2 linked regions of the Canis lupus familiaris genome follow. Each later gene encodes a partner of the first gene's protein in a complex. Links are inferred from orthologs where the notes say so. Each region holds a gene or a part of one and is shown on either strand. Other genes may lie near its edges.

Evidence for each region.
Region 2: RALGAPA1 (region 1) and RALGAPB share a complex: the UniProt entries of both Homo sapiens proteins name them as parts of the heterodimeric RalGAP1 complex. The link is inferred for Canis lupus familiaris from reciprocal best matches to the Homo sapiens genes RALGAPA1 and RALGAPB.

The regions. Positions count from the first base shown.
Region 1 is NC_049229.1:14,516,971-14,524,504, forward strand, and holds part of RALGAPA1 (ral GTPase-activating protein subunit alpha-1), read right to left. Parts: intron 2,858-7,534; coding exon 1,310-2,857; intron 617-1,309; coding exon 536-616; intron 1-535. UniProt on the Homo sapiens protein: Catalytic subunit of the heterodimeric RalGAP1 complex which acts as a GTPase activator for the Ras-like small GTPases RALA and RALB.
Region 2 is NC_049245.1:27,541,190-27,548,723, forward strand, and holds part of RALGAPB (ral GTPase-activating protein subunit beta), read left to right. Parts: intron 1-373; coding exon 374-505; intron 506-1,520; coding exon 1,521-1,699; intron 1,700-2,750; coding exon 2,751-2,899; intron 2,900-3,028; coding exon 3,029-3,245; intron 3,246-5,469; coding exon 5,470-5,505; intron 5,506-6,727; coding exon 6,728-6,929; intron 6,930-7,534. UniProt on the Homo sapiens protein: Non-catalytic subunit of the heterodimeric RalGAP1 and RalGAP2 complexes which act as GTPase activators for the Ras-like small GTPases RALA and RALB.

The sequences.
Region 1 (7,534 bases):
TGTGACATAATATCATTTATATTCACTACAAAGTCTAACATTACTGCTTTAAGAAAAAAGAGGTTTATTTTCACAAAGGTTTTTCTGTAAAAAGAAAACCCACAAAAGTTATTTTGATTTTGTTATGACTACATTAACAAAGTTTCAACCTTGGGAAAAAACTTACAGAAATAAATATTTATTTCACTATTATGCTGTTGAAAAATTAATTTCTCTGCAACTAAAAGAAAACCAGTATTGCTTATACTCCTAACGAAGTAAAAAGCATTTCAGGTCAAGAAAATACACTGGTCAAGAGTTCACTGTGAAATACCATTATCTTTATATTACTGGCCAGGCTTTGCTAAGCTGTCAAATACTGCCCTCAAGTGGCATTAATGGCTCAATGCAAGATGCATTATACAGCATTCTGTTAATCATGCTAACAAAACCATGTTAAACAAACAAAATCAAAACCTACCTTACTGCTGAAAGTTAATTTTCTATATCTGTAAAGTTATTTTAAATTTGAATCAAGATAAGAGAAGAGAGTTACCATAATCTTGCTTTCTGTAATCTGTCCATAGAGGTTCCATATTTAAATCATGATTGGCTATCATGAAACCTTTATGTACATCTAAAATCTCAGAAAAAAGAAAAGTATGGTAAGTGTTTTAAGGACTTGCATTCTATACAAATGAATGCAAAACTAAAAAGCCTACAGCTTATTTTGAAATGGCTTCTTTGAAAAGTAACTAAATCCACTTTGAGATTTAAGAAAGAATTTCTCCTTCAAGGATAACTAAAAATGTTGATGCTGGTTGTCAGACCTTGATTTCCATTATGTTACATAATGCCAAAGTAATTTTATTCCAAGAAAATATCTAAAAGCATGTAACTCATCAATAAAAATAATGAACTCAATTAGATATAGCCAGTGCCCTTTTAAATATAAACTATAAGGGGGCAGGGGAAAGTATTCCAACGACTTAGTAAACTTAATTTCACGGCTCATGTAGTACATACTCAGAAAAATATTTGATTTAGATAGCCTCTGAAAGGTCATTAAAATTTTCCTGTATCTTCCTCTTTCCTATCTTGTTCAGCAGCAAAGAGGTTTAACTAAATGCCTTATAAGGGAAATTAGTAATTTAAATAAACATTTTATGCTGGGAAAAATACAGCTGGGAAAAGGCGCATGCATAACCAAACAGAGAGAAAGCAGTGACCATCCCAAAGCTTTTTGATTGCTTATAGCTCGCTTCAGTTGCATTAAGCCAAACTGGTGCTGTCTTTCTCCTTTTGCGCTCTGCACACTGTTAGTGCTCACCTGCAGCTTTCCTTCCAAAATAGCCCATTACATGACTGTACAGATCCCTCAGTGGAGCCTCTGGTGGCATTCTGTTCTGCCTCTGTGGGGAAACATTTGCCTTCGGCTTCGAAAGAGCATGTACAACAGTTTTATAAACGCCACCCAGGGAGCCCTGCTGTAGTCCTGCCTCATGACTTGATGACCTAAGAGTACTACGACTACCTAACTGATTACTTGCAACTCCTTCTTTTTGTAATACAGTGGTGGGAATCTCTGTAGATTCCTTAGTTGTTTTACTTACTGATGCTGTACCAAGTGTATCTAGAGGCCTGTACACACCAGGTTTTACTAACTCTGTAAAACTATTTGAGCTGGTATGGAGGTTGCTGGCGCTGCTGGTGCTACTGCCACTACTACTACTGAAGCCACCAAGCTTCCGCAGTCTCATCTTCCATGGAGCCTCTTTGTTTTCCAGAGGATTATAAAACTGAACTGATTCAGTAGATGGTCTAAAAGTAACATGAACAGTATTTCGTTTTTTAGTAGTAATTTTCATGATTTTGGCTCTATGAGTTACTGTTTCAGACAAGCTCCTTTTAGTTGGAGAAAGTTTGCTAGTGTTTGTAACAGGAGGCAGTCTATGGTTAACAGGTGTTTTTAGTGTAGTTTTCTTGGTATGCATAACATGTGGGACAGTGATTTTTTCATTAATTTGCACACCCTTAACCTTTTCGACTACTGTTACATCTACACAGGCATCTAATTCTGTGGCTCTTTGTCTATACAGGTGTTTCCTTTTTTCTTTATCACAAGGGCTACCTGAGCTAGGTTCTGATGATTGTTTATCATTTTTTAGTTCCTCGGGTTTTTCGTAAGTTTTGGTTCTCATAAAACTGTCTAACTGGTTAGGCGCAACACTACTCACGAAGGCAGCTGAGTCTGGTTCTTTTTGAAACTGAGTGTTTTCAGGAGTCCCAACAAAAGAGGTGATATTTTCTGATTTACTTTCCTGGTCTACATATTCTAATTTATCTAAAGATGATCGTTCATCCCTATTTACTGCAATAATTACTTCCTCAGAAGCTGCATCTTTACCTAACTCATTTTTACTATGATTTTCCTGGTTTTCCTTAAAATATTCTTTCAAGGAGGTAAGAAGATCGTCATCTCCTTCAAGGTCAATGTACTGGATTTGTTCAAAAGCTGAATCTGCAAGTTCTACTGGATCTATTAAGTGACAAAGATGGTCATATATGCTATCACCAACTTCCAGAGAAGACTCTCTACTGTGAGTATCAGTGATGTGGCTTTCAGTGGATCTAGTTATTGAAGAAGCCTCTGTGGAACTCTGCAAGCTTGGCGCATGACGGGATGAACTGTCAATGACAGGAACTGCACCTTTGGCTCGTTCAACAGTGAATGGTTCCAAGATGTCAGAAGTACTGCTACTTCGAGGCAATGGCTGCTCCTCATTCAAAGCACCAAAAACTTCATTTCCAGTGTCTTCACTTTGTGAAAAATGTCTGACTCTAGTTGGGCGGGGAAGTATTTGAGCATCATCAATATCTGTAAAAAAAGAAAAATTATGAAGAGTAGGAACTATATGAACACGAAAAATATAGTACTAATTTCAACCATACTCTAAGCATAGGCTTAAAATAAAAAAATTCTGAGACATTTTTGTAAGCTCAATGAAATAAAATTTATTAAAAAATAGAAATGTTTTTAAATAATGATGGGCACAAGCTAATATAGCATGTAGTGTCAATGAATTAGAAAACTATAAGAATATATTTTTAAATGTTAACATGCATAGTAACAGTGAGGTGATGAAACATTTGGAAGTGCAGTTAAAGATAGAGCTGTGCCAATAAAGCAATTTAAACTTGCTATTCAATTTTTTCCTACTTAAGTTCCAAGAAGAAAAAAGTAGATCTTAACCATAGAAAGCTGATCTAAGTATTCCACTACTGTAGAATGATAGGATCTCATAAATTCTCATTTCTTCCTTACCAGGCAAGGGGCATTATCTTTTCTTCAAATCTTGCCCGTCTGATCACATATTACAAATGGAAATCTCCACCCTCTTCCAAAAGTTCTCTTTGTCCGAAAACTACTTATCTGTGCTACTGAGGTGTTTTGCTTTATTTTCTATTGTATTAAAATCTATTCATCCCTATCAAATAAAATACAGTGTTAAAAAAATTTATTTCTCACAAATACCATTTAATCTACTAGAAGAAACTTTCTCACTGGCCCTTACCATTAAGCATAGATCAAACCTTAAAAACTGTATCTATGTCTCCTGGGGCACTCTGGTGGCTCAGTAGGTTAAATGCCCAACTTTTGTTTTTGGCTCAGGTCATGGTCTCAGGGTCATGGGATTGAGCCTGCATTGAGGTCCATGCTCAGCAGGGAATCTGCTTGGGATTCTCTCCTTCTCCCTCTACCCTTCCCCCTGCTCACACGTGCATGCACACTCTAAATAAATAAGTAAATAAATAAAATCTTTTAAAAAGAAACCACTATCTATGTCTTCTTACATTTCTAAGAATCAACACATTTTAAAGTCAAAACAGACATTACAGATTATCTAATTTAATTTTCTTACTGAGGAAATTGAGGCCCAAAGAGGTAAAGCCATAAACTATGAAAAGCAGGCTTAGTGTTCCATGTCACTGCATTGTTTTCACAGCTAAGTATATGGTAAATCCTCAAAAATATTTATGAAATTGAAAATCACAAGTTGAGATACTATTAAACTGTACAGATATATGCAAATTAGAAATTTTAGAATTAAAATACAGGGTCTATGAATCCATCTTGGCCTTTATATTACCAAGAAATAACTAAAGAAAAATTTGTAAACCAGCAAAACATAATGAAAAAAGAAAGAGTCAAAAAGTCAGATGTTACTCATTAGGCTTATAATGCAAAGGTTGTAAGTAACAGAATTGTATCTGAAAATGAGAAGATTCAGATCCCAGAGTAAAACAGTGACTTATCCAAGATCACAAATTAACTTATTGATTGTGCTCGGTCTAGAACTTATTAGGTTTCTTACTCCAGACTCTGAGACCAATGTTCTCATTTATAAAATGGGGACAGTAATTCAAAATATTCTTGGGGTCCACGCTATAAATAAAAGGAAGCTGGTCCTTCCGCTATTTTATTCCTATCAACTTCTTTGTACAAGGTCCACAAGGAACCATTTTACACATAGATTCAGAACAAGGGAAGTTTGTAGTATGATAAAATTCCACTATATTCCTGAATATATACATTTGGATTCCAAGCACAGGTCAAATACACAATACCTCCAGAAGTTAAGACAATTAATTTATCATTAAGTTGAGGGGAATATTTTTAAAATGATGTTGGCTTTCTTCTTCATACACTCCACTTAGAAATTCTTTTAAATGAAAAGTGAAACATTTCCTCAGAAACTAAACATTTATGCATTTATTTATTATTACAGCAGATAACTAATGCTTATTTATGTTTTAACAAATATAAGTATTTTGGTTTTATTTTATCTCCCATAGTAGATCATAAGAATCTTTGCCTAGAGAACAGAGATTATATTTAAAATACACTCCAAGTTTCTTTCCACAAAATATCCTAATAGGACTTAAAACTATGTAATTTTCCAGAAAAATTCTTAAAAATTTTATAGTTGAGACTTTATCTGCTCCAACTGAAAATTAAAATCTTAAAAGCTTATTAAAAGCTAATATTATGATTCTAATATATGAACTTCATCAATATTATTAATATTTCATAATTTTTCTATTCTAAACAAGCCAGCAAAGATTACTGTTAAGTTCTTTTTAAGAATTTCTGCCCGACCCAGTCCCCACCTTGTATAACTAGAAAATTTAACCATTATTTCAGCCTATGTTTTTCCTGAACTTTTTTTTTATAACATATGGATACCCAATATTTTTCATGCAAGTTTAAGAGGGCAAGAGCTTAAAAAAAAAAAAGAAAAAAATTATCAACAATGTACTCTTTGAGAATTTAAACAAACAAAAACAATATTTAAGCCTTAAGTATAATTCTACATAGGCATATAAGAATACTAACTGCATAACATCAAAGAAAGTAATTGCTGACAGGAAATCAATGTCAGCATTTGAGCATAACTTACTCAAGTAAGTCTTAAATTTAAAGAAATGCCTGTATACCTGCATTCCATTAAGGAGAAAAAGATTAGTATATGTGCTGCCGAAGCAAGCACAAGGAGAAAAAGACAAAATCACAGCTAATTCTACAGTCTTTTCTACATGCTAGGCATTGTTACAAATAGCTGATATATATTATTTCATTTAATCTTCACAACATCACTGTGAAGTAGGTGTTGTTATCCCCATTTTATAGATGAAGAAACTATTTAAGTGACCTGTCTGATGTTACACAGCTGGAAAGTGAAAAGCTGGGATTTGAGAGCAAAAATTAGTCCATGTTCTAAATATCCTGAATAATATAGGTCATATACTCATGAAATAATTCATTAATTCTTTTAAATTGGCAAAAGCTAACTGTATTAAGAAATTATAAAGCAGCACAATGATTTATCTCTACAAAGAATCTTAGAAGTCAAAACATATTCAAATACAAACATTAGTAAATTATACAGAAGAAAACAACTGACAAACTTTGTATTGGAGCGCTGAAACTAAGTTTTAGGCTTAAGCAAAAATAGTGTTCAAAATAATTATGCTGCTTATATTTTCCTTTGAAAAATAGTAGTTTCTATTTAAAGTATTAATAACCATTAAATGAGCAAAACGAGAAAAAAGTTTTGTTGAATTTTTAAACGCTTTTGAACACTGATAAAATGCTTTCTATAGAGCCTTGCAACGTGTAAAATAAATTTCTTTCCACCAGTTATGTTTCTTCAGGATTTTTGTTTGTATTAACATCACAATATCCTTATTTCTTGAAACAACTCTTGTCACATAGTGGAAACTTAGTATACTAACACTGGTAGAAGGATAGTATGTCTTTATATTAAAAATTAGTAGCTACTAATTCATAAATTATCAAGCTGGTTCCTCAGGAAAATAAATCTCTTAAGTTATAACACTAACATACCACTAGGAAATTTTAATAATTTTAGAAAACAGGTACAGAACTAAGTGCCAAATCCCTTCTATCCAAAGTTAAATTCTATTCTCAGTCATAAACACTAGCTATCAGAAATATTTTTAAAGCTCCTGAATTCATAAACATCATTTATATTAGTTTACATAGAAATTTATACTATTTTAAAGCTGAGGGATCCCTGGGTGGCACAGCGGTTTGGCGCCTGCCTTTGGCCCAGGGCGCGATCCTGGAGACCCGGGATCGGATCCCACGTCGGGCTCCCGGTGCATGGAGCCTGCTTCTCCCTCTGCCTGTGTCTCTGCCTCTCTCTCTCTCTCTCTCTCTCTCTGTGACTATCATGAATAAATAAATAAAAAAAACTTTAAAAAAAAAAATAAATAAATAAAGCTGAGGTTTTTTTCCTGGATTTATCTAAAGGAAATGACAATGTCCTTTATGTAATTAAAAAATGTTTTTGAAAAAAAAAAAAAAAAAAATGTTTTTGCCTATTTGGGCAACATGGCAATGTACTTTCAAGGTGAGAACCACAGAGCATCCACATTTCCAATTTTATTACTAACAGAGTCTAGTAAAAACTCTTTTTAAAACTGGATGTTCAATTTATAGGTAATTCAAAGCAGTATCTACATCACTGAAATCATGGAAAAACTTTATGCTAATGTTTTGTTGCAACTGTATTATCTTATTGCTTGTATTTTGGTCATTGACAGTGTTAGGAAATGCTACTGATTTTTCTAAATTATTCTTGCATTGGCAACTTTGCTGAACGTTTTACAGATTCTAATAGTTTTATCAACTTGGTTTTCCCAGTCATTAAATCAGGAAGGGTCCTTCTGATGCCCCAATCTCATAATTCTCTTGCTAGAGAAATTAATAAAGAAATTTTAATTCACATACAAAAAATTAAAAGCAACAAATCAATTCCAAATAATTTTAATTTTATACCACTAAAATTTAAACCACTAAACTATTTCCTACTCTTTCATCCTTCTAATATTGTTTCCTTTATTCTTAAATTTTGGAAATGAACAAATAACCAATATATTTTTTCATGTTAAGAAAATTACAATTTTGTTTATGGGCATGTTATGTAATGCCATTTTAAGTTAGCTTCAAAGCTGTACTTTAAAAAAA
Region 2 (7,534 bases), on another chromosome or scaffold:
CTATTATATATAAAAATAAGGTTATAATATGACATATATTTAATGTGTAATATATGTAATTTTATAATTTATGATACATTCATAATATAAATTGTATAACTTAAATTACAAAGATATATGTTACAAATAATAATTTTTAAAATAAACACATTATTCAAATGTTTAAAGGTTTTTTAAATCTTACAAAACTAGAAATCCCGTTTTTGTCTCTTATCAATGAGGGTTTTCATTTATCTTCTTTGAGGTATCATACACATGTCATCTATTTTCTTTTGTATTTCTCATCATATTTTAATGCTTAATACATATTTTAATATATTTTTCATTCTGTTAAGAAATGAACTTGGTGGTTTGCATATTTTTTGTATTCTAGATTGCTACGCTTTACATATGGTCCTTCATTTCCTCCATTTAAAGTTCCTGATGAAGATGCCAGTCTGATCCCTCCTGAAATGGATAATGAGTGTGTAGCACAGACATGGTTTCGCTTCTTACATATGTTAAGGTACTATTATTTAGTATTGTGTATGCTCTTTACTCCTATCTTAGGGCAGGAACCGTACTGTAACTTCTGTGTTGGTGCTCAGTGTGTGGCTGCTAAGTACAGCCCTCAGATGGAGCCACATTGGACAGTAGTCACATCTATATCATGTGCCTCTTGCTCTCTTGCTCCCAGCAGACTCAGGCTACCCTCAGCTGCGTTTAGTCTACACTCTAGAAGCTTGTCCCCTGTGTTATATGTAGCATTTGTTCTCTTGCCTACTGTTACATCCTGGATGATATCTCTCTCAGGACTCTGTTGCATTCTGTGGGACAGGAGAGTGCCTTGCTTCTCTATGTGACCAACACTACCTGGTCCATCTGGCCAGGAGGGCCTCTCCTCTAGTGGCCTTGTTTAAAATGTCGCTGAGGGTGATACAATAAAATTACACAGAGGGATAACTTGCTGCTTCCTGGTCTCTCTTTATAGTAATTCTATTCAGTTCAATTTTATTGCTGCTTGTTTTCTCTGTACTAGCTACATCCTTGTGTCCTATGGAACTTTTGTTCTGTTGCATACTGCCTTAATTCTTAAACCATTTCCTCTCCATATCCTCTCATTCTGGTTTGACTAGTCTCATTTTTCTGTTTGTGTATTAGTGATTCTAAATTACCCTTTTTATAAGTTAGGGATGTTAACTATTTTTTTTTTCCAGGTTGTAGTTTTTGTTTTTCATCTTTTAGTGATTTCAGTTTTTTTAAATGTCTTTTTCAATGATCATTTTCTGTTTCCTTTAAAATTAGAAAAGTCTTGGGGATCCCGGGGTGGCTCAGCAGTTTAGCGCCAGCCTTCGACCCAGGACATGATCCTGGACTCCCGGATCGAGTCCCACGTCGGGCTCCCTGCATGGAGCCTGCTTCTCCCTCTGCCTGTGTTTCTGCCTCTCTCTCTTTCTGTTTCTCATGAATAAATAAATAAAATCTAAAAAAAAAAAAAATAGGCTTTCTGTGTAATTAATTCTTTTTTCCTTTTTTGATAGTAATCCCGTGGATTTGAGTAACCCGGCCATTATAAGCTCTACTCCCAAATTTCAGGAACAGTTCTTAAATGTGAGCGGAATGCCACAAGAATTGAATCAGTATCCCTGCCTTAAACATCTGCCTCAAATATTTTTTCGTGCCATGCGTGGAATCAGCTGTCTAGTGGATGCATTCTTAGGTGAATTTTGTGTATGTTTCTAAATGTTTGGAGACCTACATGTAGATAACTCTAGAGTATGGATTTAGAAACATTATGGAAAGCCCAAAGAAAAAGATGAACAGCTTTGGTTGCAAATGACAAAGTAGGAAAAATTATTTGCAACAAATGTAATAGCTAGAACACTTCCATTGTCTTTATATAAATAGATCAAACAATGCTAAGAAAAAGAATAAGACTTGGTAGATAAATGGACAAAGGATATGAATAAGTGATTTGCAGAAGGGAAAAGTTCATTCTCCGTAGTAATCCAAGAAAATACAGATTAATATACATTAGGTATGTGTCCCTGGGAATAAAATTACACCTTTTGTGAACCATTATTTTAAACCATTTTTCACATTTTAGGAATATGAAAAGTCAATATTTTTAACCTGAAAGGCAATGATATTTTATATCTATTTTTTTAAAACATTTATGTGCACTTGTTAATACATTACATAGGTAGTATATTAGTTCAAATTAAGTTTGGCTGCCACATAACAATAAAAAATACCAATGGTTTAAGCAAGATAATTATTTTCACATATGATAAGGGCAGAGCTAGGCAGTATAGGGCTGCTATCGCTGTTCCATCATTGTGAGGGACCCAGGGCTCTTCCATCTCTTGGCTCTCCATCCTTTGTGTACTCTCTCATGGGCCATGATGGTTAAATGAGTTCCAATCCTCCTTTTCAGGAATTAGGAAAGGAGGAGAGTTTATACTTGATTGGTCCTTTTAAGAAGAGTTCCTGGAAGACCCACCCCACAGTCATCTACTTCTTTATGGTCAGAACATGGCCACATCTATCTGTAAGGGAAGCTTGAAAATGTAGTTATTTATTTTGGGTAGCCATGTCCAGCTAAAATTTGTATTCAGTAACTTAGGAAGGAAGAGTGAATGGATACTGGGAGGCAGCTAGCAGTGTCTGCTGTAGTCTGTCCTGAGCCGTCACTGGTGTTGCTTGAGGAAGATTTTCTGACCATGTGTTTGAAACTATGAAGAATAACTCCATTTGTCTTTTTCTTAAAGGCATTTCTAGACCCCGATCAGACAGTGCTCCTCCAACACCCGTGAATAGATTAAGTATGCCTCAAAGCACTGCTGTCAGTACCACCCCACCACATAACCGGAGGCACCGGGCTGTTACTGTGAATAAGGCCACCATGAAGACAAGCACAGTAAGAGTTTTCATCTCCATTATTATGCTGTATAAAGTTGCCTTTTTAATCTGCCAACCTTTTAAAAAAGTCTTTCTTTTTTCTCAAACTTTTCTTGAGTGTGGATTTATTCTTGTACTCCTCCAACAGGTTAGTACTGCTCATGCCTCGAAAGTTCAGCACCAGACATCCTCCACCTCTCCTCTGTCAAGTCCCAATCAGACTAGTTCTGAACCCCGGCCACTGCCTGCCCCTCGAAGACCAAAGGTTAACAGCATCTTGAATCTCTTTGGATCATGGTTATTTGATGCAGCATTTGTTCACTGTAAACTTCATAATGGGATAAACAGAGACAGCAGCATGACTGGTAAATATTGCTCAAGAAATATGTTATCACTTTTTTCTTTTCTTTTTTTTCTTTTTAATTTTTCCTACCTGCAAGATTAATATGTATCTTAAAAAGCTTTCTGTCTCTGACCAAGCAGTGTCTTGTGTTTAACCCCTTCCAGCTACAGTAACAAATTTTTGAAAGTTTTCCTACCTGTCCTTTATATGTCTGTCTATGAGGTTTGGCTCTTGTCTGTTTTTATTAGGCACACTTTAGGTCAGCCACTTTTTGTTGAATCAAATTGCTTTACTTAGGTGGCCTGGAAGTTCCCTTCATGTCAGCCAGGATGATAATATTGATAGAAAGAATTAAATAAAGATTTTGACCAGAAATTTATTCACAAGAAGTGTTTTCTTAGATTCTGACAGCCATTCACTTATTAGTACATAAAAAAATTAGAAAATTTCTGCCTCATGAAAAACTCTTATTCTCAGGTTTTAGTCTAGAGAACTTTATTTCAGGGCACACTTTAAAAAATACCATTTGCTCTGGAACTATTTAAGAGTGGGTGAAGAATTAATAACTCAATCCTGATATCTTCATTTTGATTTTATTACAGAAACGACCCTTTCTAAATCTGATTTATTTTTGTCATCTCACTGTTGTACTTGGAAGTAGTAGCATAGTGTGCAGGATGGGAGTGTAGGGTAGTGCAGAATATACTGGATATTTATGACATGTCTTATAGAGAATAATAATCATGGCTAGCATTTATTGAGCTGCGATAACTATGCCCAGGCACTGTGTTATATGCACTAATGAGTGTATTGGTTGTTTGATAAGAAAGCACTTTTCTGATTGGGGTTAGAAGTAGGTTGAGAGAAAAGGATGCCTAATTGCATTAGTTCATGCATCTCTAGGGAGAATATTAGTTCCAAGAATTAAAACTAACATGGTGACCATAAAGGTCTCTGTTTTCTCTCAGAAATGCATTCTTAGCTATTATGAATCATCTCAGAATTAAGGTCTATATGAGCATTATACATGTATAATCATTTTGGATGTTCTTAAATTTTTAAAATAATTTAAAAAGTCGTGAATATGAAGATATTTTGGGGACTATAATTCAAGATTGCATGTTTGAGTTTACAGATTCCTTTGTTTTCTTCAAATTCAGACACTTTATATTCTTCCATTTCCATATTTTATTTAAAAGTTTGAAATTTGTGCTTCTGTATGGATAAGTATGTACTTATGGCTAATGAAAACTTCTAGAAAACCATTTTTTGGCTTATATTTTCTTATGTTCATGTACCTTATATGTTGAGTTTTCTAAACCATGTTTATATTTGTTAATTTGTATTGTATTTTCTAGAATGAATCAGTCATGTTTTTTATTTTTATTAAGGTGCAATTTTTGTAGTATAACTTTTGGGCATCAAGCTGTTGACACTAAAATCCCTGAATCCAGAATGTCTCAATCTCCTGCCTCCTTGGTGGGCTTGCTTAAGGGGAATATACAAATCTTCTCATTCTCTAGGGAGTTTGTAACAGCTTTACTCACCCTCTTGTGCCAAAAGATAGAAACCAGAACTTAGATATGTGGTAAACCAATTCTTACTTTAACCCTGAACATTTTCCTTGGTGCGGAAAAGATAGAAGGTCCTCTTGCCCCTGTTGTGTTTGGAGATGAGAAAGGCTGTTACATTACCCAGGAGATAGGAGTGTCCTGGTATTTCACTGGGTTTGGGTGCTCTTGAGAGCTGGTCTTGAAGCCGCAGGGTGGGGGGGGGAAGGGGGCGGAGGGACGGGGAATGAACACTGTTAGTCGGTTCTCTAAGTACTGGCTGCCATCAAGGAATTCTGCCCTGCAGTTCACCTCTAACTTAAGGTCTTTGCTTCGATCAACTGGTTAGCTCAAGACTGATGCGACATTACACTGTAGTTTGCAGAAGTGGTATTGAGCTGGGAAGGGTTAATGAACTAAATTTTAATGCACGTTATCAGCAGTTCAAAACCTCAATTCTTTGTAGCTGTGTAATTTTCTTCGTTCATTGTTTTGCATGATACAAAAATCATAATTTTGGATCTGAATGCACAATTTCCTGTTTTTGAACTAGCTTGTGGTATCATAAAGCTTTTAATCTAACTTTTAAAAAGCTAAAAAGCTTCTTAACTTATTGTAAAATTTCACCATCTTTAAAGTATTTTATAATTACTGCTGTCCTTTGATTTGTTTCCATTTATTTCTATTATCTTGCAGCATCTTTTATCCAAATTCTTCTTTCTTATAAATCTTGTAAGTAGGAACCAGAAGCTTCTCCTTAATTGCAGTCATGTTTTTATTTTTTTCATAATTCCATTAAAAAATTTGATTGTCATTGTCTCTTGTAGTTTTTGCACTTGGGAAGAAAAATACTTTTCTGTGTTTTGAATGGGGAAGATTGTTGGCAAAAGCAAATTAATCTGCCTGAATCAGTCCCATTATTTCTGTACACTAGTCTGGTCATGTCATGAATTCCAGGACTTTGCACTAACTGTGTTTTGGCTTTTTTTTTTTTTTTTTTTTTTAAAGCTTTAAGCTTATTTTTCTACAGATTTAGTGTTTGATTTGTATGCATTCTGCATGTAGTGTTTTTTCAAATGTATTATTGCTGGATAGCTTATTCAGGACTAAAAATGGCTCATGGGAAGTTGCATAAAGATTTATGCTTGACTCTGCATTCTATTAAAACTATTACAAAATAATTTAAACATTTCATGTAGAGCGATAAAAGATTTCAGAGTGATTTTCAATACACTATGAAATCTTTTGTTAAAAATAAAAGCAACTTTCAAAGGGCTTCTGTTTCAGTGACAACGAATGACCATGATAATCTTTCCTACCAATCCAATTTTCTGATTTATCAACCTCAAGTTAGCTGCTGTCTGTGGTTGTTAAAATTCATTCTCATTTTGCTTGGTTGGGCGATTCTTTGGTGTGTGTTTTGGAGTTGGGTGGGTGGTGGGAATGCTCTCTCTTCCTCCCTACCCATTTCTCATCCTTACTTTGCCCTTTCCCTAAAGTATACAAACTGGCATGGGCTTGCCCATTCAATTATGATGTCTGTCTGGGGTAATAATGTAAATTGCAGTAGCTATTTTTCTTAATGTTTAAGCATCATTCTACAGGGGGAGGAAAAAGCAGAATAAATAATAGAAAAGCCAAATTCTTTGTTATATCTCTGTATGTGAATACAGATATATACAAATGTACTCTGCTGATCAAAAATTCAGTTGAAAAATGCTTCAAGTAGAATCTATTAAACTGATAATACCACTGTAAATTAATTGTTACCATTTTCAAAGAAGATTTCAGAGAGCCCCTTAAAAAAAACTAAGATATAGTTGCAAACAAAAGCATTATTGAATTCTATTTAAGTAACAATTTAATGACACCAACAATTGATCTTTGTGTCCAGGGTCCCATGAGCCTATTTGCATATTGACAAATATAATAAAACGTTCTTTTCTCTCCTCAGCCATTACAACACAAGCTAGCATGGAGTTTCGACGGAAAGGGTCACAAATGTCCACAGACACCATGGTTTCCAATCCTATGTTTGATGCAAGTGAATTTCCTGATAACTATGAAGCAGGAAGAGCTGAGGCTTGTGGGACACTGTGTAGGATTTTTTGTAGCAAGAAGACTGGAGAAGAGATTCTGCCAGCTTATTTATCCAGGTCTTAGAATTTTTTTGTTTATTTTCCCATTTATATAGTTTTGATAGTGGCTTGGTAAGGCTGAATTGAAGTAAATTTGAAGTAAAATTTGAAGTAAAATTGAAGTAAATTTTGGTCTGTAGTACTTGCAAATGTCTGTTAAGTAACTGGAATTTTTGCTTGACATTCTTGCATTTTACCTGCCTTAAGATGTTTTTTTATTTTAGAAGTAGTATTTATTTCATCATATTTGACATTTATTAACGATGGAGAGATTTGGAAGGATCACACTAATGAAATATATGTTTAGCACAGTATTAGGCACTATAGATGATCCAGAAATATTAGCTGTAAATCTGGCCTCTAAGGAGCTTATTTTCTCGAGTGAGCAAAGCCGTGTACACAGGTAACAATGATCCAGTAATAATAGGAAGTTGATAGGAGAGAGGTAGAAGTAAAGTGCTGCAGGCATTCAGAAGAAGAAGAAGCAGTACACGCTTTCCCCAGGGGTTCAGGGAGGAGATACAGAGGATGGGATGATTGTCCTGGACTTAAAAAAAAATGAGTGGTGTTTAGCCTATGTTAGGTTGAGTAGGGTCTTCTGACTTCAACCATCTCTGTGTTTG